Linked DNA regions of Daphnia pulex. Each later gene encodes a partner of the first gene's protein in a complex. Links are inferred from orthologs where the notes say so. Each region holds a gene or a part of one and is shown in the gene's direction. Other genes may lie near its edges.

Evidence for each region.
Region 2: the proteins of protein daughter of sevenless-like (region 1) and tyrosine-protein phosphatase non-receptor type 11-like are in contact, whole or in part, in a crystal structure (PDB 4QSY), measured with the Homo sapiens proteins. The link is inferred for Daphnia pulex from reciprocal best matches to the Homo sapiens genes GAB1 and PTPN11. Residues at the interface, in NP_002030.2 of Homo sapiens: Lys623, Val625, Glu626, Tyr627, Leu628, Asp629, Leu630, Asp631, Leu632, Asp633; in NP_002825.3 of Homo sapiens: Gly13, Val14, Glu17, Arg32, Pro33, Ser34, Lys35, Ser36, Thr42, Arg47, Thr52, His53, Ile54, Lys55, Leu65, Gly67, Gly68, Tyr81, Gln87, Leu88, Lys89, Glu90, Lys91, Ile96.

Annotation. Positions count from the first base shown.
Region 1 is NC_060019.1:10,837,342-10,852,751, forward strand, and holds protein daughter of sevenless-like, read left to right. Parts: upstream 1-7,272; 5' UTR 7,273-7,602; coding exon 7,603-7,680; intron 7,681-8,648; coding exon 8,649-8,777; intron 8,778-8,843; coding exon 8,844-9,769; intron 9,770-9,845; coding exon 9,846-10,228; intron 10,229-10,309; coding exon 10,310-10,425; intron 10,426-10,551; coding exon 10,552-10,803; 3' UTR 10,804-11,679; downstream 11,680-15,410. Other genes in the region: apoptosis inhibitor 5-B-like, read left to right, coding at 1-121, 185-369, 435-657, 728-923, 1,001-1,065; calpain-D-like, read right to left, coding at 2,099-2,413, 2,477-2,518, 2,585-3,109, 3,712-3,844, 3,908-4,052, 4,117-4,251, 4,312-4,498, 4,563-4,719 and 5 more. UniProt on the Homo sapiens protein: Adapter protein that plays a role in intracellular signaling cascades triggered by activated receptor-type kinases. Plays a role in FGFR1 signaling. Probably involved in signaling by the epidermal growth factor receptor (EGFR) and the insulin receptor (INSR).
Region 2 is NC_060017.1:3,948,388-3,963,772, reverse strand, and holds the start of tyrosine-protein phosphatase non-receptor type 11-like, read left to right. Parts: upstream 1-6,836; 5' UTR 6,837-7,244; coding exon 7,245-7,258; intron 7,259-7,402; coding exon 7,403-7,525; intron 7,526-7,601; coding exon 7,602-7,796; intron 7,797-7,914; coding exon 7,915-8,089; intron 8,090-8,167; coding exon 8,168-8,344; intron 8,345-8,811; exon of another isoform or gene 8,812-9,005; intron 9,006-9,086; exon of another isoform or gene 9,087-9,214; intron 9,215-9,274; exon of another isoform or gene 9,275-9,369; intron 9,370-9,430; exon of another isoform or gene 9,431-9,615; intron 9,616-9,697; exon of another isoform or gene 9,698-9,914; intron 9,915-9,970; exon of another isoform or gene 9,971-10,080; intron 10,081-10,146; exon of another isoform or gene 10,147-10,524; intron 10,525-12,056; exon of another isoform or gene 12,057-12,290; intron 12,291-12,353; exon of another isoform or gene 12,354-12,517; intron 12,518-12,574; exon of another isoform or gene 12,575-12,783; intron 12,784-13,836; exon of another isoform or gene 13,837-14,014; coding exon of another isoform or gene 14,015-14,108; intron 14,109-14,172; coding exon of another isoform or gene 14,173-14,335; intron 14,336-14,407; coding exon of another isoform or gene 14,408-14,522; intron 14,523-14,590; coding exon of another isoform or gene 14,591-14,694; and 4 more. Other genes in the region: type 2 phosphatidylinositol 4,5-bisphosphate 4-phosphatase-like, read right to left, coding at 395-480, 546-600, 672-762, 994-1,043, 1,105-1,314, 1,392-1,570, 1,751-1,820; uncharacterized protein LOC124203633, read left to right, coding at 4,378-5,567, 5,645-6,086; platelet-activating factor acetylhydrolase-like, read right to left, coding at 14,015-14,108, 14,173-14,335, 14,408-14,522, 14,591-14,694, 14,772-14,919. UniProt on the Homo sapiens protein: Acts downstream of various receptor and cytoplasmic protein tyrosine kinases to participate in the signal transduction from the cell surface to the nucleus. Positively regulates MAPK signal transduction pathway. Dephosphorylates GAB1, ARHGAP35 and EGFR.

The DNA of each region.
Region 1 (15,410 bases):
TGAAATTGGGCAGAGTGAACAAAAATTGGACATATTTAAGTTGCTGGCAGAATTGAGCTCTAATTGCGGCCCCCTAGATCCAGTCGTTGAGCGAATCCAAATCGTGTACGACACCCTCTTGGTAATTTATTGGAAATAGTTTTTAAAAATTCATCTTCACCATTTCCTGTTTTTTATTTCTTAGGAATACATGCCTCTTCCACCACCAGTATTGGAAGAAACCAATGGAGATGGATGCACGACAGAAACCGAAATTCGCTTAGAGTTCACTTTTGTTGAATCATTGATCTTCGCCTTTCACCAGTTGGCTCGTCAACACCGCGAATTTCTGACCGATAATGCCGATCGCAGCAAGGATTTCCGATCACGGTATGTTCTCATCACCAACGATTTGTCTGAACTTTCACACAACATAAAAATATTTATCCTGGCAGATTACAATATTTTGCTCGAGGAGTGCAAGGCTACATAAAGAAGCTACGTGAGTCGTTGCAAGATAAAGGTGTCGACCAACTGAGAGATGAAGAGGGTCGGATTAAGGTTACTGCTTTGAGAACTACTTCCAACATCAATTCACTAATTCGGGATTTGTTCCGAAACCCGCCTTCTTACAAAGTCAACGTAACGTTATCATTCAAACCGACAAATGCATCACAAGTAAGTTATATTGCTGCACAAAACAAAATGGTAACCAGGTGTAATCAATATTATTTTCTGAATCTTTCAGGCAGCTAAACAGACAGCAGCGGTAGCAGTTAATAACGAGAGCACAAGTGAAGCGGCCGGCGTTGCTAAGCGTCATGCTCCCATCACGTTTGAAAGTTCGCCGCCGAAAGTTCGAGTTAATACAGACAACCGTGTGAGGCAACCATATGTTGTTCCTACTGGCAAATTTAGTGCCAACGTGTCAGCGCATGGCGCAGGTAAATGACCCATTACATATTGGCGATATTGCCGTCTACATCAACAAAAATTCTAATGGATAATTCTATTTGTCTAGATTCTCGCCCCCGTGGTCGTGGTGGGTACAGGGGTGGGCGGGGATATCGGCGGGGAGGGTACTAGTTGCTAGAATCCCCCTTTTTTCCCTTTTAAATTCTAGTTGTGTATTCGCATTTCCTTCTTTCCCTCTCACCTAAACCTGGAATCACCCTTTTCACCTTTTCATTTAAAAATGGTAACAACGGAAGCGGTCGGTAAACTAAGGAAAATCTGATATTGTGGAGTCGATGACGGGACGGACTATGTTTGTTAGAAAAATAGCTTCCATCTCGCCAAAAAAAAAATGCCCTGTGGAATGTCGACATACAAATTGCGATTTTTGATTCACTTCTGATTTTCTTAATTCTCCGCCATTTCAGCAGGAGGTCGGCATGTTAATGCTCGTTTCTTTGTTCTATTTAGAATCTACGAATTTGGTGATAGAATGGTGGGTGCGATATACCGGAAGGTTGGACTTGTTTGCATTTTATTCAAGGATTACTTTATTATATCTTTATTTTCAGTCGGAAGTCGAATCCAGCCAACAACACGAGTCACTAACTACTGTTTACAAATTCTGATGTTTTGCTAGGTACATATCCGACGGGCGGCATCTCATTGTTGCTAAAGAGATGAGGTTTAGATTTCTTACTTCAATGTCCGTCCCTGAGCCGTACACACAATTAAGTTCTGCTATTGTTTGTCATACCTAATCTCGTCATTAATACAGACAACGATACATTTAAATTCGTAAACTTTTCACTTGATGATACGTATGTATTTTACAAACAAAATGGCAGAATAGTATGCGATACTTTGAGACTCGTACAGTGTACATTAAAATTTCACCTACACTCATTACATTTTGTGATGCACTCACACACATTAGGTTAGTTAGTCCGAATACGTACACAAAACTCAAATAAAGAGCGATACGCGAGGCAAATTGCTAGCACTACCCAAGGTTGTTTTTCTGTTATAAAATTGAGTTTAGAGAACAAATGATCGGATCCTTAAAATCGCAACTTGAATAGTAATTTTGAAAAAGGGAGGGCTGGGGGTAAACGATTTCACTGTGATGACTGGTTGGAATTTTTCCGATAAGTAATCCTACATTTCAAATTGGTCGAGGAGTGTGTAACCCAGTAACGGCGGAGGTCAGTAAAGGCTGATGAGATTCACCTGGAGGCCCCCAATCATTAAGACCGCCTTGAGGAGAAAGACGATGTATAAGACGATGTGCAATAGAAAATCCACCACCGCCTTCCAGCTGAGTTAGAACCAAGAGCACTTGTCTATGCAGTGGTGGAATTGCGTCTACTGTCAACAGAGCTCCTCGAGTAGAAACGACATTGAAGCTTTCCTGACAGTCGCAACGGACTTGCAACCATTTATCTGCATGGCGGTTTTCCACTGTAACTACTAGTCCGGCCTGCAAAAAGGAAAATGTTTTAAAAATAGAAATTGTCTACAAAAATGTACAATGATAACTTACCCAACCCTGAGTGAGATAATAAGCAGTCATACCCTCTCTTCCCTATAGATACAAAAATTTAGTTTATATTTAGAACATATTTTTAAACGGTAAAAGATCATTTCGAACCTCGTAGCGCTGGCCTTTGGCCATAGTCAAACTAATGAGTCCATCAGCCAAAACAAATGGTGAAGGAGTGATATGCTCTACAAGAAGTCGCTTGCTGCTGTGCAATGCCAAGACGCACGGCGGGTAGTGGGTGACGGCACCTTCAACTGGATTCAAATCCCAGTGATTGAAAGCGAGACAGACGATGAGATACAATCCAGGTTCCAGGAATGCATTGGTGGCAACGAAACCCCTCAGTTGCCGTCGACTGTGCACAACTAATTGGCCAATTTGGGGAGCAGCCACTGAGCCAGTTCTGTAAAGGGCGACGCAGAGATCGACGGGTGAGCGTTGTGACTTGTCCGTGTGTCGGCTGCCCTCTTGAAATAAACTCAAATCCAATTCGGTTGGCTCAACCACCGTCACTAGGACGGCCAAAACATGGTCTGAAAAGGCGCAAGGAGGCAAGAGACCAGGCAATCGAACTTCACTCCAACCTGATCGCACCTTGCAGACATCAATGCAATCAAAGAAAACCAAAGTATCCTGTGGAGAAAACCAAAAAGAAACATTTCAGTGAAATATTGCCCATTCACCCATTCAGTTGATAAAGGGCCCTACGAGCACGTGCTCCTAACAACCGCAGGGAGGAGATCCCAACAATTGGTTCGGCAATGCCGCTATGGGTCATTGCTGAATGCGGTTTTATTGTTTAATCGATTGAGATTTTATCGACAAACAAACAAATCCAGATTGCGTAGGCACACAGGATATCATTAAGGAACAGTAGGGGATAGTCCAGTCATGTAAAGAATATCGTAAAGAACGGATGGTCAGTGCGTGATACTCGTATAGCACACTGCCATGTGCTCATTTATGTATGAACAGCTGTGTTATTTTATATAGTCTCCTTCTAACAAAAATAATTCAAAAAGTGGTTCTTCGGTAGATCGTGTCACCACAACAGTTTTGAAAAGTGTAACCAGTAGTTTTTATTCCGATACGGCAAGTTTTTTTTTCCAAGCACGCCAATTTGAAATTCAACGCGGTTTGTTAAAAAAAAGTTTTGGAATTTCTTTGTGTCTTTTACTTCCAAGAAAAATAAAATCTTATCGTAATAAAAAAGAGAAGAATTCCTTTTAAATTACCTGGAATGATATCCAAAAAACACCTTCCACATCCCCGTGCGGCATACAAATGGCACGAAGTTCGGGGTTCCAAAGTTTGGAGTCGTCAGCCCAGTCACCACGCCAAGAAAAGTGACCCCATGGGTTACGCATCCTAAAGTGCAATTCCAACTTTTAGATCAAAGTTTCAAGAAAGCCAAGAGAGTCATGTTTAGACCTGAGAAGGCGAGGACCACCTTTGGAACTGAAATCAAGAACGTCTAACACGGAGTAGGCGTGCCGGGGTCGCAGTCCTTTTTGGCGATACTCTTCCTCGTCTATCTTCATTGTGCCACCACCGCAAGAAGCGCCCATCAGGAAACCTTTTAAAAGCAAAACGAAACAATGATAATAACATTACCCAAATGCGAATTAAGGTTAACCAACCTGCAGTGCGAGAGCTGAGGAGTCGTGCCCAAATCAAATCTTCATCCAGAACTTCAGCTTCTTCCCTGTTACTTCCGTTGGTTGATGGCTGGAGGGAAATGCTCTCGCAAGGGGCTCCTGTAAGCGAGGCAAGACCTGACGTAATCAAGAGTTAAGTACGTACTTTTTTAATTAAAACGATTCGGATCAAATTACCTTCGATTGAACGACCCGAAACAAGGGCCCCATAGCCTCCATGAATTTTCGCCATGGCTTTTTCGATTAGCGGCACCCATAATTGCTTCCTTTTAGCTTGAGAGTAAAGCAGATGTCCACGTTGGTCACAAGGCAACAAATCGTCAACCAAAACAGTTCGCCACATTCCATCTTTACATAAGCGTATCTGTAATAAATACAAATTAGATTATGGGTCGCACAGCAGAAGTACAATTGAAATTAATAAGAACCTGATAAGCGCCTTCGTTACAGACTTCCCGTGTGACCATAACATTTTGAACTAATTCGTCTCGTTCGGCTAACACTGCTAAGGCGCTCAATAGCCAGCAGTCACCCAGGATTCCTTGAGATATGTCGGATGGCAACGGGGTACGAAAAACAGCCCACCTGTAAATGAATTGTGATGAGCGAACGTGATTGGTATGAATTTGAACATTCCATTTTCTTACTTGACATGGGAAGCAGCGCTGCTAACTATTTGACTGGGTCGGAGCCATTGAACCCCTTCTTGAGTGCTGTTGTGCAAAGAGCGTCCAGTAGGTAGAAATGAATCGTCGACAAATTTATCGCCACTGGTTCGACAAAAGCCAACAATACGCTTCCATTTGAGACGCGCTTGTTCCTCTTCCGTGTGGCGGAGAGAAGCGGACGGCTCACTTTCATGGCGCGAGATGGCGGCCGGAGCAGGTGGCGAAAGAGCTGTCAGACTTCGACTGGATTGGCATATTTCACAGCTGTACGATTTAGACTTTTTGTTGTGAAATGTACAAGCAGAACATTGCCATCCTCCCATCGCAGAATCGGGAGTACGCTTTGATGACGGAATGTTTCTCGCTGGCGAAGAAGGAATCGGGCTGCTGCCGATGGTCGGTGTTCCAACCTGTTATAAAATTAAGTTAAACGATAATCGATAAATTTCAGAAAATAAGAAACGCTACAAAATATTAAGGATAATAAGATGAAAACTATATACAATTGCAATATCTACGTACCTTTGTCTGGGACTGCGGAGTCATAGCGGTTTTACATGCTCTGCATTTGGAAATCGAGTGTGAGTTAAGCAACGTGCACTGAGGACATGACCAGGTGTCTTTTTTCGTGGGACTATGAGCAGAGCCTTGACTTTCTACTTTCTTCTCGCTGTACAGTTGTGAGCAGCTACACGCAGAGCAAACATTTTCCCCGATTGGATTGATTAAAGTGCATTTTTTGCATGTCCAGCTCGCGTCGTACTGATGATTAACGACCACCGTACCGTTCTTCCTACCATTCACGGCTGCCTCTTTGGAATGGCTGTCAGGCACAAACAATTCCCTTTTGTTAGTTTCAAGTAAAAAAGTTATGCTATTGCTCATAACACTATAGAGTTTAAAAATACAATACATACTTGTTGTCTGAGTCCAATCCTGATGTTCCATATTTAACTATAATGGGTTTTCGTGGTAATGTTAAGGGGATATTGGGAGAGCGAGGTGCTTCACAAACCTCACAGCAGTGGAGATCAATAAGATTTGAAAATGTGCAGCGTTTGCAAGACCATGTTGAGCTATTGTTGTTTGGCTGTTGAAGAGTTTGATTTTGCTCTTGACTAGCTGAAATTCCTTTAGGTTTGCTGGTCATGCAAGTCATGCAATCTTGAGCACTATAAAAAGTTGGTATATCTTGTCTATTAATAGGTTCTAACAAAAAGAAATTGATTGATGATTGTTCAAACTAACCTTGCCACATTCAGAAATAAGCAGTGAGGGCAAGTCCATTTTGCTAAGAATACACAAGTAATAATGGAATAACAGAGATTCCCACCCAGCAGATGATAAATTATTAAAACGTTAAATACCTGATGAAGAACTAGAGTAGGAGACAGAATGTTTAAGTTGTGAATGATTTTTCGAGGACCGATTGTTTTCCTCAAAGTTGACTGGTGAACACATTGGACGGTCTTCTTCTTTTTCTATTGTACAAGATCGTTTTGCCCCGCAATTGAAGCAACAGCTCTTTTCAGTTGGATTAACTTGTAGGCATATCACACATTTCCATTGCAAGACTGAGGCAATCGTACCCATTTAAAACTAATCCGATTTTAAAAAGCCAAACATCAAGAATTAAATAAAACGCACAAGCCAAACATATCGACAAAGAAACTGTGAGATCCAGACGAAATTTCCCTGTCCGACTGACAGCCGCGATCAGCTGATCCTGAATCGATCGACCTGCCCTCCTGAGGTATTTCGTCTCTGCTGGTCTCCCTTCTGTTAACTGAAGCGGCAGCCAATAAGGTGTAGGATACACTTGCTGAGTCGCCACTTGACATGAATTCTTCATCACCACCCAGTGCTATAGGTGATGCAGATAAGGAAAAAAAAAATCGTTCGTGAAGTTGAAAACAAATATCGCGTGTGGCGTTGCGCGCGCGTTTGTTATCGAACCTGCGGGGCGGACCGAGCGTGAATGTGGTAAGAACACGCATAGACTTTTAGGTGCACGCCACTATAATAACAACTATACTTTTATTTTTTGACAGTAGCATGTTACCTTCTTTTTCTTTTTTCCGAATAAATTTCTTTTTTTTTAAACTTTGGTTGTATGGCTTTAGAGAAAACAGGTATTCGCGCACAAGTGTTGCTTAGATTAAATGGAACGCAAACTTAAATACAGGATCTATCCTATCCAGTTCCATAATCATGTTCTAATCGATATTTGTAAATCAACAATAGAAAATCGACCATTCCCGTCGAGCGTGTTGAGTCGCTGACCAATGAATTTTTCAAAATGCAAATTAATTTTGAATAGGTTAGGCCACCTAGCGACGCGTATTCAAACTTTTTCCTCCTATCAACGCCTACGGAGGAAAAGTCGAAAACGCTCCCCAAATAACAAATAAAAATGCATTAGCATTTTCTCAAAGCGTTTAGTAAAACTATTTTGATATGAAAAACTGATTGGTTTAACAAAATTCTATCGTGTTGTGCATACAAAAGTAGATAAGGAAAAATGGAAAACTTTGGACGCTGTAAAGAGAGAATAGACGTCAGGTATTTGAGATCTGGCAGCGTCATGTTAGTCATCCCATCCATCCCAGCTCACTTGTGTTTCTCCAACTTGGCTGTGGAATTTGAGCTGGAAAAATGTCGTAAAAAGTTCTTTTTCCCCTTTGTTGTTACCCGTTTTCCGTCGATTGGATGGTCGTCGTCTTGTCAATAGAATCGACGCCTTAAATATTAAGTGCAATTGTTTTGTATAGTTTTGTTTCGCTCAGTTCTACAAGGCACCATGGCTTTGGCCAACACGGAAATCGTTCATGAAGGCTGGCTTGTCAAGTCTCCGCCCACCAAACGAATATGGAGAGCTGTAAGTGTAATTTGATTCAATTTTAATTAAAACAGGTTACTCATTATTGAACAGTTGCTCTTTTTACCTTGATAAAACTCCATGGTTCAGAGTGCTAAATAGTAAATACTATTATCAAGCTTCTGTTGGCCATTCTCTCTGTTAGTGGGTCACGATGAAGCATTTCTTTTCCAATCATTTTCCCATTATTATTTATCTCTTTGTTTCTCAAATCATAGATGCCAAATTATCCTTTATTATCCCATTTGTGTTATGTGTGGAGAGTAGAAATTTAGCTGATCCCAGCATTACCATGGCATGTACTCGGTCCCTGATAAATCTTGGAATTCTCTGTGTTTTTTTAAGCGTTGGGCTGTATTGGTTGCTCAACATCAAGATAAGACTTGCCATCACATTTTTCAGAGTTTACCTCAAGCTTTATCTGGAGATTCATAAACTTAGATAACTGCTTTTTAGCATTTCCCCCCCGAGATAAAAAATTCCTCCAAAAATAAATTATGCAGGAGCTGTTTTGTTATCAAAATGGTGCATGGTTGTTTGTGACACTTTGTGGGCTGCCACCAATCGGGCGAGTTTTTTTTTCCCGGTTTCTGTGGTGAACGCTGCAACGAAATTTATTCGATCTATATATTTTGTGTTTTGTTTTCATCATCTCGATATCTGTGGAAGAGAGGAGGATGTTGTTCCCACGGTTTTGGTAGATGCGCGCTTCTCTGACCTATGACCGACTCTTTGTAATCGGATCTGTTGATGGCATTCCCCTCCCCTCTTCGTTCAACTTAGATATGATCGAATTTCTTCTCCTCTCCCCCCTTTCTTTTTTTATTATGAGAATGTTTGCCGATCTCGTTCTCACTCTACGACAACCCCCATGCGAGGAGACCCTTCTATTATTATACAAAAATGTCTTGTGTGCCTGGCCCATCAATTTCTTATCCCTTTTTTTTCTTCTTCTTTTGGTGACACAGAAATGGCGGAGAAGATGGTTCGTGTTGAAACATTCTGGCGAGTTGCCTGGACAATATTTCCTTGAATATTACACGGATCGAACATGTCGAAAATTAAAGGGCAAAATCGATTTGGACCAATGCGAACAGGTGAATTGACTTTTTAATTTAATTTGTTCAACATAATTTTTAAAATTATGTTTTTTCTTGTAACAGGTGGATTCCGGGCTGACGATTGAAAGTAGGAAGCAGCGGTATGCCCACATGTTTGACATCCGCACACCGAAGCGCGTCTACTTTTTGGCGGCCGACAGTGAATCAGACATGAATAGCTGGGTGGGTTGCATCTGTCACGTCTGCGGTCTCAAGGTGTTTTATCGCGAAGATGAAGAGACCGGTTCGTCTGTGACTCTGACACGGCCCGTCCCTAACGCGTCATCGACAATGGCCACCAGCGGAGTCCATTCGGCCATGGCGAGGACTTTGCAAGTGAGCCAGTTGTTGGAAGACACGCCACCCACCTCGCCCACTTCGCCGACCGGCAGTTCGGGCCCTTATTTCCCGTTGAGCGAATGCCTTTCAGGATCGCGCAGTCTCGTCTTTCAAGAAGCTATGGGATCGGTGGGCCAGCCGTCGTCGGCGCCCGTGACTCCAGCGCCGACAGCGCGAGGCTTAGCTCTCGGAACTCAAAGTTTACGCGGCCGGCCTCAGCGCGAGGGCTGGGACATTTTCTGCGACCAGCCCAGACAGTTGTCGTCGCCCGGCCACTCACAATTGGGTCAATCGCAGCAACTGCAGCCCGTCAGTTCGTCGGCGCGCAACGACCAAGGAGTTCACGAGCAAATTCGTAGCTTTGAGGACAAGTTTGCGCACTCTTTTAAGAGACTGCAACCGGCCACTGGCGCCAGCAAACGACCATCAGTTCCCCAATTGATGGGCAGTCAGAAGTTTGTGCCGCCGCCTCGCCCGCCCAAACCACCTCATTTAATCGACCAGCCTTCGCACAATTATCTGAATCTGGAACAGCTGCAATCGCCAACTTCCGTCGCTCCTGGTGGCAGATCGCACAGTCGCAGCAGTAGCCCACGCTCTCCATCGTCGACATCGCCTCCTTTACCTACGCCGACCAACGCCGATTCCTGGTAATTATTCAACGATTAGTAAATGAAGCGCAGACCTTGGTTAATTGATTGTTTCATTTTTTGGGGAAATTTTAAGGTACGATTTCCCGCGATCGCACCAGGGTGACCACGGCAACGACGGCAAGACGGGCAAGGATGCCCAGAGACGGCACTGTTACTCGAACGCTGCACCTGGCGAATTGTCGTCATCGGCTGTGGCTGCAGCGGCTGAGATTTTCACGTTCAACAACAACGCCGTCACGGCCGGGTTGTCTGCCGCTTCGGCCATGTCGCCCAGCGTTTATTCGAATCTGGCCAGCCCCTTCCCTTTGGCGAGTCCAGCACTCCTTCCCATGACCCCCTTTTCTCCGCCTTCAGTCAACCGAACACTCAAGCCCAAGACGCAATCCTCTGGTGCGGCCGGCGTCGTTGATGGACCCCTTCCACCGCCCTCAGTCAACCGCCAGTTGAAACCCAATCGTAAGTGGTCTCGTTTGAGGTCTATCGATTTTTTGGGGTGTTGTTAACGATGCCAATCTTTTATTTTCTCTCTCTTCTCAGGTCCCGTTTCTGGTGTCGGACAACACGCCGATTTCCACGGAAGCAGTTCAGACGATGCTGACGATCCATCGAGTCGGGGCAGTACCCGACCCAATTCCGCCCATGACGAGGAGCAGGTAAAACATTTTCCTCCTTTTTTAAAAAATTAATGAATTAACTCGCTTTGCTGACCAACTAAAACTAACCTTGGGTGGTGTCCGCGGTTTCTTTCCTTTTTTTTCTCATTTGTGTCTCCCCTACAGATCTACTATTTCATTCAGGGCTCGAGGGTCATTAGCGCTGGCCGTCAGCTGGACGATATCCAGTATTTGGACTTGGATTTGGAGTCTGACTCGTCTCTCCAATCGCCCAAAAGTCCCGAACGGGGTCACCATCACCAAAATCACCACCAGGCTTCGTCGACTGTCTACAAGACTGTCGACTTCATCAAAACGGAAGCTTTCAACCGAACACGTCTCACCGTCGAGGAGCGTCGCTCCAAAAAGGCGCAATAGGCACTCTCGAACCACCGCCACCTTTTTTGGATCGTTCAAATGTCTCGAGAAACATCCAAGACAATGACTCAATTCTTTTCAGAAGAAAAGAAGAAAACAAAAAGTAGGGAACACACGCACTCGGCACAAAATCATATTTGACACACATACGCGCGCGCACCCCCACGGAGAGAGATTAAAAACAATTCTGTGAGATTATTTCCGTTGTGTAAAAAAGACAATCAAAGATGATGGCACACACATATACAAGCCTTGTCGGCCATGTGTTTTTTCGTCAACCCCCTCCCCACCCACATTTGACTCCTCCCCATTTTTCCTTTGACAGATGGACTCGAGCCATTCCCTTTTTTATGCACGTGTATGTGTATATATATATATACATATATATATATATAAAAATAATCATTTTGGCCAATACTTCGACAACAAATTCAAAAAAACTTGCCCGAAGCTTTTCTCCTTACAATATATAAAAGTTTTTTTTGTTTAACGCAAAAACAAACAAAAAATTACCAACAGGATTGTTGGAGTGTTATTCCTTTCCCGTTAATCTATTTTTTTTTTAAATTGATGTTCACTTGTTTCAAGGGCGGCGATTCTCGCGATTACAGCAAAAAGAAAAGGGCAATTTAATGACAATCGAAAATGTGGGGCAGAACAGCATATTCATTCTTTAAAAAAACAATTCTTTTGATGATGATTATTACTTGTAATTTTGTTTGTTTTTTCTTTCTCTCTCTTTTGTCTTTTGCATTTGGATTTCTTTTGAAAAAGAAAAGAAGAATCACGCTTCGTCTTTTATTCTTGTACGTACGTTTTCCCCAACACTTTGAGAGATTATCTGTAAATACAGTTCTTTTTTTTTTCTCACTTTAATTCATTTTTCTATTTCAGTTAACCTTCACCGCAAGTATACAAGATGAAGGTGTCGCATTGCGCGCATGATCGGCTCACCGGCATCTGTGTATGAATCCCGTCTGGGATATTTAATTCGTTCGTCAGCTTTCACCGAGGGGGTGCGGCGATTGATCGGCGGGAAAACAGAAACCGCTGGTGCGTGTGTAGGTTACAGACAGACATAACACTGCCAGCACGTCGTCCACGTCGTCGTCTCGGTCTAAATATATATAACGTCAGACCTAGTACGACAAAATGCGTGTGCGCTGCTTTTCTCTTTGTAACTGGATGACCTCCACCATCTTTTTTTCGTCTTCTCCTGTACCCCGTCTGCAGTTGTGCCAACCTCCTATAGGATCCGCTGGAACAGTCACATGTTAGCAAGGGATTTGTGTCCGACTTGGGTCTATACTATATTCCAGCGTGTTTTTAGAATTTTTCATTTTGGCAGCAGAAGGAAATGTTCAGCACCGAAATAATCAAATGTGAGAAATAGAAATGAAATGTTTCCAATATTGGTTCAACTCGTCAAACACGACACTCACGCAGCAGCACATAACAGTTGAGTCAACACACGCTACATGGATAGAGAGAGAGATATTGCAGCAATTTTGTTTCTCTTTTTTTCAGTATATTTCCCCGTGTCTGTGTACAATCTCCACGAGACGAGGTTATTGGCGTCAATCAAATTTTTTGAAAATTCCCGCGCTTGACGGGTTTCGATAAAGACGGGCAAATTGCGGTTGGAAGAAGAGCCTCCGCCAATGCATCCTAATGACGTATGCAAATACACAGACATAAAATAGCTGGTGGGGGTATATAATCAGACGTTGTTCATTGCCATCAAAACAAATTCTTCAGATCAAGAAAACACCAAACTCTGCGCAATTTTTCCGCTTCCAGGCGATGATTTCTCTCCGTTCCAACGAGCCACCCTGGAGCTCGTTATTAGGGCGGGTTTCGTGCAAATTTTTACTCGGATCTTGTCCGTCCAGGGTGGGCTTGATGTAACTTATCGAGAAGAACAATTTGATGTGAAATATATATCCCGATTTGTCCATGCGGTTTGGTTTTAGGGAAGGGGTTGATTTTCTTTGATTTTGGCGGGAAGTGGGAGGCGCGGAGGGCGGATTTTTAATATCGATATCTTAACTTCTTAAGCGTGGTTAATTAGAATATTTGTGTCGTCTGCTTTCCTTTTGTTTCGCAGTTTCGAAAAAGCTAAAAGAGACGAAGGTTCAGACATTTTTTATCATAGAAAACTGAAGGGATCACTGGTTTGATGGAAACGTGTACGTGGCTGCAAGAGAAATTGCAGAACAAAATAAAATGTGGTCGTCGTGCAAACTTATTTGGTGTCGTGACTCGTGGCCATGCTCTCCACTCCATGCTGTTTCTCAGGTAAATAAAACTAGAATACGAAATACGAATGGAATGATTTTGGAAGCTCATTAGAAGAGTTCAACCTTTTCCAAATTTGTGAAATGTTGGTGCCCAACTACAGTGACTAGCATCTATCATGTAATAATGCTTGTTGTCGATGCATGACAGAGTTTGTTTGCTCCATGTATAACCTTTACCTTTGTGTAGATTTCAGTACTGAGCCAGCCATCGTAACTACAAGATTTGCAAGTTTTGACACTGACCCGTCATCACCAACAATCTCAGCATCATTAATTGGGTAAAGATTTTTGTTGCTTTTATTAACCTGTTACCTGCTGTATATAAATGGTGCCTAAAACTTGCATAAAAAGGTACTGCCAGGTATTACATGTAAACCTTAAGCAATCGTGTTTATTAACAGTAAGGGGATAACCACTGTCTTCTTTCTAACTTTTCCCAAGTTGTTGTCTCTGCAATATTTTTTTCGTAACCTGTTTTGTATTTTTTGATTAGATAAACAGCTCCTAGTTTAATTGGGAAAACTCTGTCCTCGTGTACACCCATGTGAAGGTGAGTGTATACTCACGATGACCCCCTTATCCTATCCTGACTGGCGTCAACCGTGACTTGACTGAGGATGGAGCACTTGTGGTTGCCTGGCTGTGGATTTCCTCGGTTTTAAGGTAGAAACAATGTAATCCTGTTCTTCCTTTTTATCTATTTGGTGGCGTTATGGTTATATAACGTTACGGAATACGATTATTCCTGAGCTAGGCCATTTGACTGGAACTGTTTTCTCTTGCTGTTTCTGTTGTATCAATCAGGGTTAATTAAACAACTCATTTGCAGAGCGACTGCACGGTATCAGGCTTGTTTTATACCTCACAACTTAATCTGCGGGTAAAAAATCAAATTAAAAAAAAAAACTTGTTTAATTTTAAAAACCTCAACAATGTGCAAAAGTCTCGTTTGAATTCAATTCAGCGCCATACAAACCTTCGGGAATCGAGCAGCTACTGGCAGCAGCGCCATCACGTTGCCAAAGTTGAAACATTCAATTCTACAAAACTAAATGAATGGAATTTCATTCCAACGTCTCGACTTTTTAGATTGAATTACACATCACGTGGCTTGAGGCACGCGCTGTCATAACTCCCGCGGGATTGAACCCAATTCGGTTTCACGTTCTATACCCAATAGGAATCGTCCAAAACAAATTATTATGTTCCATGTTGTGTGCTGTGTGTTTACATCTTTTTTTTTCCCCGGCTGCGCATATGGCTTACGTAATAATGTGTCGGTATTACTGTGACGCGCCGCTTTTATTTGACACCGGCTGGCGCGGCTTCAGTTTTCCCCCGAATAGTTTTTCGAGACGTGCATCGCATGTCCGTGTTAAGTTTCTCAGCATACCTACGTATACATGCTAACAATCAATGTTAAAAACCAGAGCTCTACAAGAGCTGCTATCCCATCGTCTGTATTTAGTGCGGCCATCGGGACCGGTTAGACTCGATTTCATTTGTACCGTTGGGAATTCTGTTACGAATGTTTTTTTTCCATCAAGCTGTCGGCGCATACCATTCTTTTTACGGATTTACCTATCTAAATCACTCGATAGAAATGGTTGTTGTTGTACTACACCTTTTTATAAATTAAAACAGTTTGTTTTGTGGGGAATTCTTGCTCTTCTTTGTAACTCGGTTGATCAATTCGAATTGTCAATGGCGGCAGCATAGAGCTACGCCAGAATTTCATGGAAAAATCATTTCATTTGATGTAGCCAAAGCTTATATTCAATACCTCTCATTTGTCATGTACGCTATTTGTATACATCCTTGTTATTAAATTGATACGAGCGTTGTATAACGATTTCAAATATGCGTCTGTATAAAATATCAATCGGAGCTAATCAGCTGACGATGTTTTTTCTCTTTTTTCAAAGTCGATGTGATTTTATTTTTTCGATGCTGTGATGCTTGCGGTTAAACCCACACAGAGAACCCATTCACAAGTTGACCTGAATGTCACTATCGCCATCTGGAGTTCATTTCTCAGTCGCTCCGGCTTATCTCTTCTTCTTTTTTCAACGTGACTTTTTGAGGGGCTATTTTATTTTTATGGCATCAGCATCTAACGGTATTTATTATACACACACGGTTGTATGGGTTGGCCTTATTTTTTTGGAAAAGATTTGAAATAACTTGATGAAATAATTGCGAAATAGATCCAGCGGGATGGACATCACCTCAATCTATGTATTAAAAGTTACACAGTAGTCAGTTATAGACAAGATGGATGCGACATTAGTCACGGATGTCGTCCGC
Region 2 (15,385 bases), on another chromosome or scaffold:
ATATCCTCTATCGTAATGTGACTGTTACAATAGATGTATATCTCAGAGTTCCGAAAGGAAATGCAAATATTATCGACCGAGCGCTATGTAAAATAGGGAAATTTCAGAAGAGAGGGTGGTAAACAATTAAATTGTTGATAAGGAGAAATTGCAAGTTGAATCAAGAATTGGAGGCGCCAAATTAAAGGTAAAATAACCAATGCGAACCTGGAATGTCCTACGCATCAAACGTACTTCTGTTTTACCCATTCTTCGAATGCGATATATGCATATCCCCCTCCTTACCATCATAACCAAATCATATTTTACATCATTGTGAAAAGAAAGGAAAATATTGAAAAGAAAACGCTAACGTAAACGCAAGACCGATTTTCGAATGACACAAAAGAGCTAATTACATGGGACCTTCTATCACGCTGACTTTCATCGTCCAATAATAGATGCTTCGAATAAATAAGATCAAGGCAATCAGAAACGCTCCTATGAGAAAGATCGTGTCATTAAATCATACGAAAAACCAACTTCAGGATTACTAAAAAACTTACCAACGTACACAACATACATTCCTCCTTTCGACACTGCTATATGGTAAGTCCCCCACTGAATAAGAAAATTAAAAATTAAACATCAGGCTATAGTTTTTCTACAAGAAATTTTGATGTTCTGATTACCGTCACTCCAACACCAATGGCAATAAAAACCATGGTTAAAACTAAGAAAATTGTGGCCCGCTTCCTAGCAAAATCCGGTCCGACAGATGATCTGTAATTAATAAAAAAATAAATTTTATTTGTAGATGTAAATGCTACGTGACGATTTAATTTTCTACGTGGCTTGCATGTTGCGCAAAACGTAGTAAAATTACTATTCATTACAAATTTTAGACATTTTTTTTTAATTGAGTAAAATTAGTTTTTCAAAGAAGTGAGTGTGTGAAATAAGGTATTTAAATAACCACTAAATGCCTTCAATCTGCAACAACAAAATACTTACACTCTTCTGCAATGAGGGCATCTAGCTAAAGCATTTGTCAGGGTGTTGAACTAAAAAACAAAAATACCAATCAGTAAGTTAGAAAATCACAATTAAAACTTTTTGTTTCACCAGAAATGTATCATGGCAATGAGCACATGTGACGCGACACATTCCAGGAACCGATGGAACGGAAGGGTTAGTTGGGTTTGGTGTCAGATTGATGATCCTCTTGCAAATGGGTCTAGGACATGCAATCCTTTGAGAAGTAGCTTTGCATATTAAGAGACAGTTGCAAGGACACCTTACATATTTTTTCCCTGGAGGGGCATTCCTAATTGGCTGGATTACAAATTTTTTATTAGATTTGAGTATATGCACAGATAATTCCATCGTGAAAAAATGAATGCAAAACTTACTGTGGCCTCGTGACACTCAGCACACTTAACAACATGTTGATCTTTTTTGCCGGAAATATCAATGAGAGCTTGGCACACTCTACAAGTAACCATTGGGTTTCCGTTTAACTGGGCTGCTCCTGTTGTCCATGAGTTGGTGTCACTTGTGGATCCATAAGGTGGAGGAACTTCATCAACTTCTGAGAAAGAAAATCACTGCTACATGATTTGTGAAACGTTTCTATTCAAACAATGGCACCAATAAGCTGTCGAGCGAACTGGTAGTTTCGCACCATTGTGACTCATACAGATGACGATTAAGTCTAAATGATTGCTATAGTTTCCTATTTTCTGACACATAACTCTTTGAAAAAACTTACCTTGTGCAACATTAGCCAGATCTCCCCCATAATCATGACTGACAAGAGGTTTCCGTTCATCAGACGGCATGATTTGTGATTTTAGGAAGAAGTACCGAACGAATTAGCTGAGTCTGAGACAACTGTGTCGATAAAGAAACAGTGAAACACCCCTTGTTAGACGACGTAGACTCGAGAACATTGACTTGCTTTATTCAGTCCTAACCAACGCCTTGTAACATTTGCCGCAAGAGGGCATTGATAGTTCTTGTACTAGGATCGTATGGTCTCGTAATATCATATATCTGCTAAGTTCCAGGAAGTACACGGCGGTGTATTTCATCGCATTTCCGGCAGGAAAAAAGTGCCGTTTGTATATTGAGAGCTACGATGTTGTATGGTAATCTATGTAAAGTATGCTTTTTCTCTTGACCAATTACCAATATTATGCGTGTTTTGATTATTTTATCATTCCTACCTTTGAGGGAGGCAGCAATAATAAAGAGAAGTCACAGATTTTTCTGTGACATTGACATTGTTATAAATTTTATCAGCTCAATTTTTAAATTCAAGGAAAAATTCCATTTTAAAAACACTATTTCGCAATTCGTATATCACAACCACACCAAAACTGCTGAAACCATGCCGAAACCTTAAATCACGCCAGCACTGTAACAGTTGTAGCTGTATTCTGATCCAACGAATTAAATCTCGTTTGGTGGTGCAATGGAAATCGATCGCGGAGACGGATAAGCAAGCATTTTATTGTGCTTTTAAAATTCAAACATATGGTTTTCAGACATTTCCATTTTTTGACATTTACTAACAAAATAAATGATAAAATCAAGGGTCTTAAATTAAAATGGCACTAAAAAATGTCCTATCTATGGCCTATTCTAAATTTATGACCTGTTATACCTCATTCATTTGACAAAATGTTCATAATTTGTTACGTGAAAATAAAGCCTACCTTTCAAATTGAATCTGAAATCCATTTTTCGGTCGAAATTTTCCAATAGTAAAGTATTCCTATTTTTTTCTTTTTGACGGTTTTGAGTTATGTCTTTCTATCTCACAAGTCACACTGTAACTGACGATGAATGTTAAATTGTTAATGCTGCAATATGAGTCATTATAGGCTCGAGTCCTCTTTAGTTTCACAGTCAACAGATTGGAGCCGATAGTTTGGGACGACATTCATCAGTTCTTTCGCAATCGTAGCAACAGCTAAGGCATTTTCCAGAGAGGCAGCATTTATTATCTTATCATTTCATTCTGCAGTCTTCTTTTTGAATATTCATCCGAGTAGTTTTCAAGGATTTTTTTCTTGAAAATCACTATAAAATGGACGAATTCTCAATTTCGTTTTCTTTTTTCTTAATAGAGTGACTAAAAAATATGCGCCGTGCTTCTAAATATGCACAGCTACTTTGATTATATAGGCTAAACTTATTTGGGACACGGGAAGTCGGGAAAAGCAACGTGACCAGCAGCGTAGCCGCAAAATAACCTAGGAAATAAGATGATCTTTTATAGATGTTCATCGGCCGCACTATAGCTCTATAGCAATATAAAAATTTTTGAAAAGAAGGCCAACTTCACCATCTTACTAAATCTTTCTAATATAATAATTTCTAATCGGAAACTTTCTTATACAGTGTGAAATATTTTTGGGATAACTCCCATTATTGCAATCTTGATTGAGAATAATCTCCACCCCAAAATCTAGCAAATATTTTAAAAATCTGAATAGTAATATAATTTAATAAATCTGTTTGACAAGTGCTGGTAGGAATGACTAATAGATCGGACTATTTTCAGCCGTTGGAACTACAAGCCCGCAAGTATTACAACTATAGGAAATTGTTTTAAATGGTACTGAACCCATCCATTATCAATTATTAGATGACCTCTTTTTTATTTTTATAACAACATTTTTATGAGGAAGAAAACGGGAATTAAATCTAAAAGTATTGTTTTCTTTAAAGATCTGGAAAAAAGAAGAAATAAAACTCGATAAAACTGACGAGCAATTGATGCGATACAGCGCGAATTGCTGCTATATATTCTTTTCTTTCTCTTTGATAATGCATGTCCAGAAGCTAAGCCCAGCATCCTGGTGTCAAGTGAAATGCAACGGTTGACTCGATCAATTTTTATTTTTGTTGCTTTAACTTGTGCAGCAGCTATAATAAACAGACACCTTCTTTATAGCTCCAGTGGTCCCGTTTCTTTTGTTTTTTCCCAACTTTTTCCAATCGTCCTCTTCCAATTTTTTTTTACTGGGGGTGTATATACATGGAAAAAAGAAACAGAGATGAGAACGAAATAAATTGCAAAGGGGCGGAGTATTAGGGATGATAAGTTGGCTATAAAATGCGATAGTAGATCAAGAAAAATTGTCATTTGCTTACATTTCTCACTCCGCTAAAGAAAGAAACACTCGAACAGCAAGCTTTTTACATTTTAGTTTGATGTGAAATCAGTGCACCGCTTTCGACAGCTATAAATCAATACCTTATTGGAAATCGTAACTCAGGTGAATAGAAAAGACGAGAAAAAAAAACAATCTAATTTGTATTGTTAATTTAATAATCACAACAATTATATCAATCCTGTATGCAGGTTACAATAATAGACGGAAGAAAATGCGTTCTACTTTTTCAGTTTTCATACTGCTATGTCTATTTTCCATACACTTGCAGCCAAGCCATAGTCATTTACCGCCATTCTTCAAAGAAAAGCTTCTAGGAAAAGGGAGTCAAGGGAAAGATGCTGGTGGGACGGCTTTAGCAGCCGTGATTTCGTCACGGAAAATTGGTCTAGGTCTGAAAGCCATCCTCTTCAAGCCGTTGCTTTTAGTGGCACTGGCCAAAATCAAATTCGCCCTTTTGCTCGGCAAGCCTCTTGCTCTGTTGGCCATAAAGAAACTCTTACTGAAAGCTGTTCTAGGCAAGCTGCTGCTCAAGATTCCTTTGATCCTCCTTAAAGGCAAAGCCCTTTTGTTTAAGATGTTGGCTCTCAAGATCAAACTCATCACCAAAGGTTTACTTGGGTTTAAAGCTCCATTAACTATGCTCTTCCTGGGTGCGTGCGCCTTGGGGTCCGGTCTAGGTTTGGCTGTAGCGCTCGGTGCTACGCTTCACAAGTTAAAAGAAGACTCTTACGAGGAAGACTACAGCAGTTATGAGGAGCCGTACTATCCTCCACCAAGGCCCTCATACGGTCCACCATCTCCTCCTGCCTACAGCTCTTCTTCGTATTCACCCAATCCTGCCTACAGTTCATCTTCTTATCCATCTGATCCTGCGTACACTTCTTCTTCTTCTTCTTATTCACCCGATCCTGCGCACAGTCCTTCGTATTCACCCGATCCTGCATACTCGGCTCCAGCTGTCTCCTACTCACAAAGTGGCAGGGACACATTCTCGTCGAACGGTTATGGCAACGAAGTCGCCAGCCTGACAGTCGGAATAGGAGAAACCAATTTCGGAACTGCTGCTGCTGGCTATTCCGACTACGGGAATGTCGCAAACGCATTTCAAGGTGGCTATGAAGGTAGACGCCAAAAGCGTGACTATTCCAGTCTCAGTTGGTTGATTGGCGCTGACGAGAGCAATCAGAACGAAGGTGAAGAATTTGAGGAAGAAGCTATTGATGAGTCACCCGAGGACCTTCAACTCGAGTTTGAAGCGGCACGTACCAACGGAAACGCTTACCTCTACATGGCCGCTCAGTTTGACGAGAAATCCTGCGGTCGCCGTCTGCTATGCGAAATCTATCAGAAAGCTCACGAAAGCCTCACTGAAGACGAAATTCTGTTGCAAGAAATTTTCGGGTTCGTCATCGCAATCTTTATTTCAACTCTTTTAATTATAATTTGCATTTGTTTTTGTTTTCGTTTTTAATTTCTAGATATCCTCTGTCTGCGTTAAGCGAAGAAGACGAAGGTACCCCGAAAGAAATGTATTACAGGGCGGCACAGTTAGGCACAGCATACGAAGGTCGACCAAACAATCGTGTTTGTGCCCGATACTATTCCGCCTGTCCACACAATGCCGACCAGCTCATCAATATCTTCGTCACCGAAGATGTTCAGACTAATGAAATTGACACAACTGACCACCGGCCTTCCGCTCACCTGCAACCACCTCAGTCTAGCGCTAACTTACCCTTTTACCAATCTCAGTCACCAGCCGTTACGGTTGCTCAGTCATTAAGACAAGATTTTAGGACGGATCAACAGTCATCGACCAAGACAGGACAACAGCAAGTGAGTCGACCGGGCAGAGTGTTTCCGGCGCTTACAAGCCTCCGACACAGATTTCTCAAAGAGACAGCACCCAACACTGCTTGAATTGCGATTTCAACTCTATGAAGAATGAACTGTAGACCGGTACGCGTCTTTATAGTTGTACTTTGACGATTAATTATTAGCTTAAACATTTTTCCGTATGTTACAGTATTCGATGTTGACATCCTTTGTTTACGTTAATTGTTTTGTTTTTATCTGTGACTTTGTAGTGGCTTATTCATACACCAAAATGTAAATTCTTAAAGGGTCTATGTAAGAGTCTAACTTTAGCTGCTTTAGCTACGCGATGACGCAAAGAAACCGAATGACTCTGCCTCAATATTTCCGTAAACAAATAAATGCCAGTAAATCTTTTTATTGTTTGAAATCGTGACGTTGCTGTAAATTCTGTGACACATATTATTCCTATAAAGATTGATTATATAAATTTTTATGATGGTGATATGAAGAACAATCGCAGCGCCTCTAGCGGATCAATGTGCCCTATATTCAATTCTACCGCTACTAATTTTTGAATAATATTAGCGTAATAAAAATATACCTTATTATAAGCCTTCTTCTTTTACGCATCTTACCTCATATCGCTTATTCATGACATGATTCTTGAGACACAAAAGTATTCCCGTTGTTCGAGAAATAAGTTTTGCAATAAATAGACATAGCGATTTTTTTAAATATTTAACCAGAGCAAAACGGTAACGGTAGATTCGCTATTGAGTGACATTTCCTTTTTTTATTTATAAAAAGGAAACTGGCTCGTCGACGCTAGATGGCTGGAAGCAGTTTCAGGAATAGGGAAATCTTGAATATTTTATTAAGTTATTGTACTGTAAAATGCAATTGTTGGTTGTGTGTTAAGTGTAATTTCATAGTCGTTGATTTTTTTAAAAGATACCCTATTTTTATTTTTCTCTTAGCTGTATTGGACATATCGATATCTAATCGATATCGATTGACGAATTTAAGAAAAAAAGTGTGCTGTCCCTAAAATCCCTTAAGGCTAAAAAGTTGTTTTGTTTAGTATTTACGTGAAATTCCCGATTTCAACCAACATAAATTTGAGAATCCAGTGCCACAGCTCCTTGTGTAATCAAGATATAGTTTTGCGGTTAAAAGTTGTTGGAAAATATCGCGACTTTTAGATTTCAGATAAAGCTTTCAAGTTTTTCCTCAGTCTTGGTCTACAGCTCTTTTACATCCATGGGCTCAAGAAGGTAATCATTTGCTTACTTGAATGTGAACACTTGTATGTTTTCCCCACGGTAACTGACTAAGTAGTTTGTTGAACCCAAAAAGTGTCACCTTACAATTGTTTTGTTGTTATGCCTTTGTTTTAAGCTGAGACTGATTTTTTGTAGGTGGTTTCATCCCAATGTGTCAGGAATCGATGCTGAACTCCTTCTCCTGAAAAGAAGAGTTGATGGCAGTTTTTTAGCTCGTCCCAGTAAAAGTAATCCAGGAGATTTCACCTTGTCTGTTCGGTAACAATCAAACTGAATATTTCTTTAATGAGGTGTCTTTTTAATTAATCTAAAACTTTTATATTTTGTTTCAAAGGAGAAATGGCGAAGTTACCCACATCAAAATTCAAAATACTGGAGATTTCTATGATTTATATGGAGGGGAAAAATTTGCCACGCTGTCTGAACTGGTGCAGTTCTATATGGAAACTCCTGGACAATTGCGAGAAAAGAATGGTGAAGCAATTGAACTTAAATTCCCAGTCCATTGCTCTGATCCCACAACTGAAAGGTAGTTACAGTGATTTTATCTGTTTCTTAATGCAAGATTTTATAATTACTTAATTTTGTTTTGTTCTTTTTGTCTATTACTATTATTTTTCATTGCTTATAATGTTTTTTTTTCTTAGACTGTCTTTCAGGTGGTTCCATGGACACCTTTCTGGAAAAGAAGCAGAAAAAATTCTACTTGAGAAAGGGAAGAATGGAAGTTTTTTAGTCAGGGAGTCTCAAAGTAAACCTGGGGACTATGTTTTGTCTGTTAGAACTGAAGACAAAGTAACCCATGTCATGATAAGATATCAGGTGTGATATTGAACATATTAATAAGCTTTATTAATAAGCTTGGATGAGATTTTACATTTTTTTTTTTTCGTATTTCAGGAGCAAAAGTACGATGTTGGTGGTGGCGAAAAATTTGATTCACTGTGTGAACTAATTGAGCATTATAAGAAGAACCCAATGGTTGAAACTACTGGAACAGTAGTTCATTTAAAACAGCCTTACAACGCAACCAGAATTCATGCAAGTGGAATTGAAAGTCGCGTTAAAGAACTGCAGGTAACAACGGGATCCGGATACAAGTAATTATTTTCACTAGTAAATATGGTATCAAGCTCTTTCAAAATTTTGTTTTATTGAAATTAAGGACACAAGTATTTTTGTTCTTAAGTAATTATGGACTGTTGTATTTAAAATTTTTAATAATTTGGGCTTTAAGTAATTCATGCAACGTGTATTTAGTCAAATACTCGCTAGTAATTATGGTCACCAGTAATTAAAATTATGTTCACAAATAATAGGTTCTATTAGTACAATTGTTCGTAAGTCACTAGCAACGACTTAAGTAATTATATTCTTAAGTAATTGTTTTCTTAAGAAATTATTTTCTTAAGTAATTATTCTCACAAGTAACTATTTTCTTAAGTAATTATTATCTTATGTATTTACACGGTGTAAACACTTTTATTATTTTGTATTTAGAGAATTAAAGTGAAACGTCATTTATTGATTGCGTTATTGCGTAGGCTCAGGTTGCGTACAAACTTTTACGCGTTTGCAGTTTTAAGAACGCGCCTGGAAATTACATCAACAGTTTCGAGTTGTCTGCTTGTCACTTGTCAGTTTGTTTTTTTCCAAAAGTCAGACAAGAGTTAATTGCTGGTTAATTGAGGCTCAAAAGTCAAAATAGGCGTTGTTTGTGAAAAATATTTTGTCTTTGGTAACATATTTTCTTTCTTTATAAGTAAATGTAAGTTAACATTTGTGTAAAAATGTTTGTTTATTCTGTCTATTTATTAAGAATCAAATTGTTACACCAGTTAAAGGAAACAGGAGTTTATCATCAGAAGAGATTAAGCATTATCATTCATCAGTACTACAACCAGGTGGTATTGGATGTCAAATGAATTTTAGAATGCTTCCCTCCAGGTAGCAATAATATTTCTTTTATGTATATTTTCTATTCTTAAAATTTCGTTATCCGCCTAGGTATTAATGAAAATATTCAAGCAGACCTCAAAGTAAAAGTCACAGAGCTGATAATAAGAGTTCTGATAGCAAATGAAGGTCTCCATTACTATCAGGTTATAGCAAAATTCAATTACGAAGATGATCCTCTTACATTTGTTATGCTTCCATGCACAGGGTTTTCACGATATTGCCATCACACTGTTATTGCTTGTTTTAGGAGAAGAGAAAAGTCACAGTGTGTCATGCAGACTTTCCCAATCACATTTCCAACTGTTTATGGGACCAGATATGGAGCCTACAATGAAAATGTATGCACTAGTCAAAAATGAAAATCGTGATTTGTACAATTATTTGATGAGGTATTTGAAACCCCTCCCCCCCCCCTAAAAAAAAAAAGAGAAATATTCTCTTTAAAATTTGAATAACTTGTTTTAATTCTAGGTTGGAGCTAGGGACAATTTTCTGCCTTCCGTGGGCGATTACTTGGTTTGGCCATGTTCTCAACGATTAGGAAACTGTCGTAAGATTGTTTGATGTATTTATGTTCTCACATCCATGGACCTCTATGTATCTATCTGTTGTCGTCGTGTTGCATAGCGCAAGTGATATTTTCTTGACACCGTGTGAGATGCCGCTTCTACATCAAATGCTCTCCAACGTACTATTTTTTTAATAAGCTCTTTTTCGATTAATGTTCTTACAGTTTTATCTTAGGTCCCTGATAATCTACCATTTGATAGTCTTATTACTGAAACAGAAAAGTTGATGCGAACCTATCCACCAGATGTAATGGAAACAGTTGTCCGAGAGATGCACGCTGAAAAGTATCTTAAGCATTTAAGTTTCTGCTGATATTTCCTGAATGACATTAATGTTTCATCTTGTTGTAGTATTCGTAAGATAAAGGAAGAGGACGAAGAGAGGAAAAGGAGAATGGAACAGAGAAAGGCTGCTTTACAAGGGAAACATAAAAAAGCGGCGATTCAACGTTGGACTCCTTGGTCTGGATTCAGAAATTTAAGATCCCAAACTGCGAAGGTTGTTGCACTTAGCGTAAGCGTTGCAACATTCGCATTTATTTATAACTATTTTGAAGTTCCATTTGTCATGTTTAAATGCTTGTCATACCCAATAATTAAGAAAAACAGAAAATTTCATAATATTGAATATTGTGCCTGTTGTGTTCCTCTTCTGTTAAAGAGCATTCCTATATTTCAAATTTTATGAATGTGAAAAATGTAATTAAATAAACTGGTTTGTATTCATTATTCCATGTGTTTTACACTTTTAGACGTTGATCAGCCACATAGCTTTCTTGGCTGTTTATACAGTGCCACCCTATTGGACCGATTTCACAATCTGCACACATCAAATATTTATAGTTCCCAAGTCCCAATCGTATTAGAAAATCCAACATTTTCAAATTGGAACATATCAGGTATCAGCCAAGATTTTGTGACAAAGCAAAAGTCTAGACCGATTGATTGATCGATTCAACTCTGATGTCACCTTAGGCGAAAATCTATTTCGTTTCTTCAATCGATATCAAATTCAGAAAAAGAACTAAGTTGGTCAATAAAAGTGTAGTAGACATTGAGTATAGACAACAAGGGCGTTGTGCTGATTAATTCGTCATTCCCTCAAACTTTTCTTGCATGTGGCAGACGAAAATGGCACTTTTCGCGAATCGCTAAAGAAAATGTATTTCCTTTTTGTATTTTTAGAATAACGCGAAATTGCGCTGCGCGACTAACAAGGACATGTACTTGTTTGTCCGCAGGAATTGTTCATATTGCAAAAGTGGAGCCAGTTACATTGTCAGTCCCGAACTACCGATCGACGAAGATCGATCAATATGACGGTTCCTCCAAAGATAGATCTTACCTGTGCTGTACGTCGACATGTACTGAGCAGGAGAAAATGTAACTTCTCCGACGCTGTTTTCAACCCGCCACAATTTGTCGACATTTTCCCGGATCCGCAATTGACATCTTTGTTTAAGGTTTAAGGAGTAAAGAAATCGGAGTCCAATGCCAAGCTTGTGATGTTTCAGCACTTAATGTAAGTCAGTATTGAATTTAAATTTGTCAATAGCATTATAGCTAATACAAAACGTATTGGAAAATTTAGATCAATACGGATTGTGCTACGACCGAGGCCCACGGAGTTTTCCACAAGGAAGGTGGATGGCCTCGCGATGTCAACCCGCAAGAAGCCGATCAAACGGCTCGCTACCGCAAAAAGATCGAGAAGGATGAAGCTTATTTCCGTACTGTTCTACAACTTGGACATGTTGAATTGATATAAATGTGAATGATGTTTATACTAATAAGTGCAAACAGATTTTTTTACCCCATTGTAGCAAATGGAACATTACATCAAGCAAAACAATGTATTTAACATCTATGAGGATTATTTCACTGATTCTCCCGATGTGTAATCATCAATTAATTTAATACTTTTTTTTTATATTTCTGGATGGCTGAATTTTATATTTCCAACAAACAAACGCCAGATCCGAATCCTCTGCGAACTCTTCATCTGCTAAAGGATCCGTCACCGATAAAACGCGCAGTCACAGTCTTAGTTGGAGTCCCGATATGGAGGAACCAAATTGGCCGCTGCAACTATTCAGATCCTTTTTGGAAAAATCTGTTTGACCACAAAGAAAATGATTCTTTCATCTGGAATATTGGTATTGACATTTGCCGATATGAGAATGATATGTCTCTTTATTCAGCAGTATAACTTTGCAAGTAATAATTCCTTCCATGAATAGAAAGAGCTGTGCAACCAGAAATAATTTTACGCAGCATGTAGTCAACTACGTTCCGTCTCGTTCAATCCGCGTGACCATCACATTTTAGCTGGTGGATCGATTTATGGCGCTGTGGGAATTTGGGACGTTTGTAAGAGTCAAGGTCCAGTCGAATGCGTCCCCATTGGTGTCGGTCATTCGGAAAGTGTCACTTCGCTTATTTGGAGCAATTCAAAGGCTGGAGGAGAATTCTTCTCCGCCTCTGGCGACGGCCAAGTAAAAACACGATAACAAATCATTTTGATTATTTCATCTTGATTATATGATTAACAATAATAGGTTCTTTGGTGGGACATGCGAAAATTAAATGCGCCAATAGACGCACTTTTACTGGAACCTAGTTCAATCCCTCGATCGGAAAGCGCTTTATCTGCTACTTGTCTCGAGTACGATCCTTCTATGCCAAACCGTGCCAAACAAATTCCTAGTTGGCACACGTCAAGGTGCTCATTTCTCAATTCATTTCACCTAAAAATAAAAAATGAATTGCCAATTTGCAGGTATTGTGATGAATTGCAACAGAAGAGCCCGAACAACAGCGGAGAGGATAAATGGATAATGTGCCAATACGAGGCACACTTGGGCCCAGTTCACGGTCTACATCGACACCTACATCTGCCCAAAATCTTTTTGACCGTTTTGGATTGGACCACGAATGTTAGGACCGAGGACATTCGCGATTCGCCCATTTTAACTTTAAAGTGTGTTCGCTTATGTCTATTGACAAGCAGATTCAAATAATAACTTGTTTCATACTCTGCTGCGTTGTAGGAATCAAAATGTCCAGTTACTGGACGGAGCGTGGAGTCACACACGGTCGTCCATCATATTCACTGCTGCAACAGACGGTGCTCTTTACCTGTGGGATATTCTCGCCCAGCGGATCACTCCTACGTTATGCTCCCAGGTCATAATAGAAAAAATTTGATTAAAATGTTGACAATTATAAATTTTAAATGTATTAACCAGGTCAGCGAATCTCCGCTTTTAAGTTTGAGCACCCAGGAACACGGAAAAATCATGGCAGTTTGCAGCAAAGACGGACGGTTTTCCGTCATTCAAATAAGCGACAATTTGTCGACAGTAACCAAAAACGATAAAGTAGCGCTCACCTCGGTATGATAAGTTATAGCTGGAAGAAAATTTAAGTCTATATTAAGTCCTATAATCCAATCCACTGTTACACACAGTTACTGGAACGAGAAATCCGAAGAGAAAAGAATTTGGAACAGCGGACTAAAGACAGCAAGAGTAAACAAGGACCCAAAACTTCCATTTTCCACCTTGCGATTGCAACAGTGACCCAAGCGGCCAAGTTGCTACGCAAGGCTCATTGGGCGTTCAGAAACCTCCGTCTCCCATGTCCCATCACCTCGCTATCTAAAAAAATGTTTGATAGCTTGAAGGAGACACTCCAGGCACTTAATATTAATCAAGAGAATACAAGCGGCAAAGAAGTTAACGAAAGATCGGTTATTGAACCTTCGGCTGATATGTTGCCAGCCACTGATAAAACCGGAAGCCAAATCAACGTATCTGTCTCTCACGCTGCTCCAGTGGCGCCATTCGTTGATCAGACTCTGCAATCTTCCGAAGAGGCTTTCTTTGAAATTGAAACCATTGATCAGGTATAATATTTGAGTTATTTCGTTATGATATCAGAAAATGTCATGTACAACTTTATTTGTTTTTAAATATGATCACAGGAAATACTTTCCCGTGGAATAGAAGAAAAACAATGAGTAGACGAATAACTAGTATGTATGAATCACCAATGATTTTATTAATCCGATCCGCAATCAATATTTCCATTATTCAAATGTTCGTTTTTTTGGGAGAAGGGGGTATAATTAAGAGAGGTGTCGAGAAAGAGTGTTACAAGCAAGTAAATAAAAGTTGTAGGGGAATTAGAAGTAAAAAGCGGTAAAAAGTCATTGCATTCACAAGTCATTTCCAGGGATCCAGCTTTCGACTAAACCTCCTTTACTATTTGGTTCCGTTTCGAGACTATAAGTCATGCAAGCGGAGCCATCCCTATAAAATTTAAGATTTAGTGGAGAATGTCATTATTTAAAACAAATTTGTTTAAAGTAAGTACCTGTGTTCAATAGCTGCCACTATAAACCCATGGGATGATATGTCTGAGCAGAAAGTTGAGTAGGCAGTACGGCACGCAGTAAGACCATGAGAAAATACAATTACAGGAAATCTTTGTTCATTGCATAGCTCAGCATCTAACGCTATAGGAATGTATGAATTTCCTGGCTCACATACATCACAATTAGTTGACTTTAACCTTCTGTTAAAAACAGGTACTTCATTTCGCTACACACCAAAGGCCCAGGATATCAGCTTCTTGCCAAAGAAAGGAATCATTCCTAGTACTATGGTGTAATCTTCTACGTATTTTGGGTGGAGGAGCCAGCTTGCCCAACGGGAAGAATGTTCCTTTGGAGAAAAGAGGTAAATAGATTAACCACAAAAGTTCAGCAGCAATTTGAGAAAAGGTCGCTTACATATACATCTTTTATTTGACTAGGATAGTATACTCGAAGAAAGCAACCATCTTCCTTGCTGGGTCCACCAGTCATTAAGTTGGTGCAGCCAACAACATACTTCCCTTTATAATCAATAACAACAAAGTAAGTTGATTACATTTACAAAACACAATTCACCAGCAATTAACTCTTCTCTGACTTTTGGAAAAAACAAACTGACAAGCAGACAACAGACAAGCAGACAACGCGAAACTGTTGATGAAATTTCCAGGTGCGTTCTTAAACCTGCAAATGCAACAAAGTTTGTACGCAATTAATAAATGTGGTTTTTCCTTTTTGTGCAGCATCACTATAATTCTCTAAATACAAAATAATAAATATCATAATTAATTATTCATTCTAGTACGGAATATAAACAATTAAATATGACTAACTTTTTAATTAAAATGCTTAAGAACATAATTACTTGGGACTTGAATTACTTATGGCTTTAATTACTTGTGAATTTATTTACTTGCAAAAGGGAATTACTTGTGTTGGTTAGCTAAATTACTTGTTGCCAGTATTACTTACTACCATAATTACTTAGCTGACAGAAAATAATTACTCATCAATTTTATTATTTAATTCCGTAATTACTTAAGAGAAAAATTACTTACACCCATAATTATTGATCTTATTTACTTAATACCCCAAGTACTTGTGAAAATAATTACTTGATGTCCGGACTCGTAACAACTCCGCCAAGCAAATGCTTTTTTTTTTTATTTTATTCATTTATTGTCTGAAATGTCTAAAATCTTTCTTTCTGTA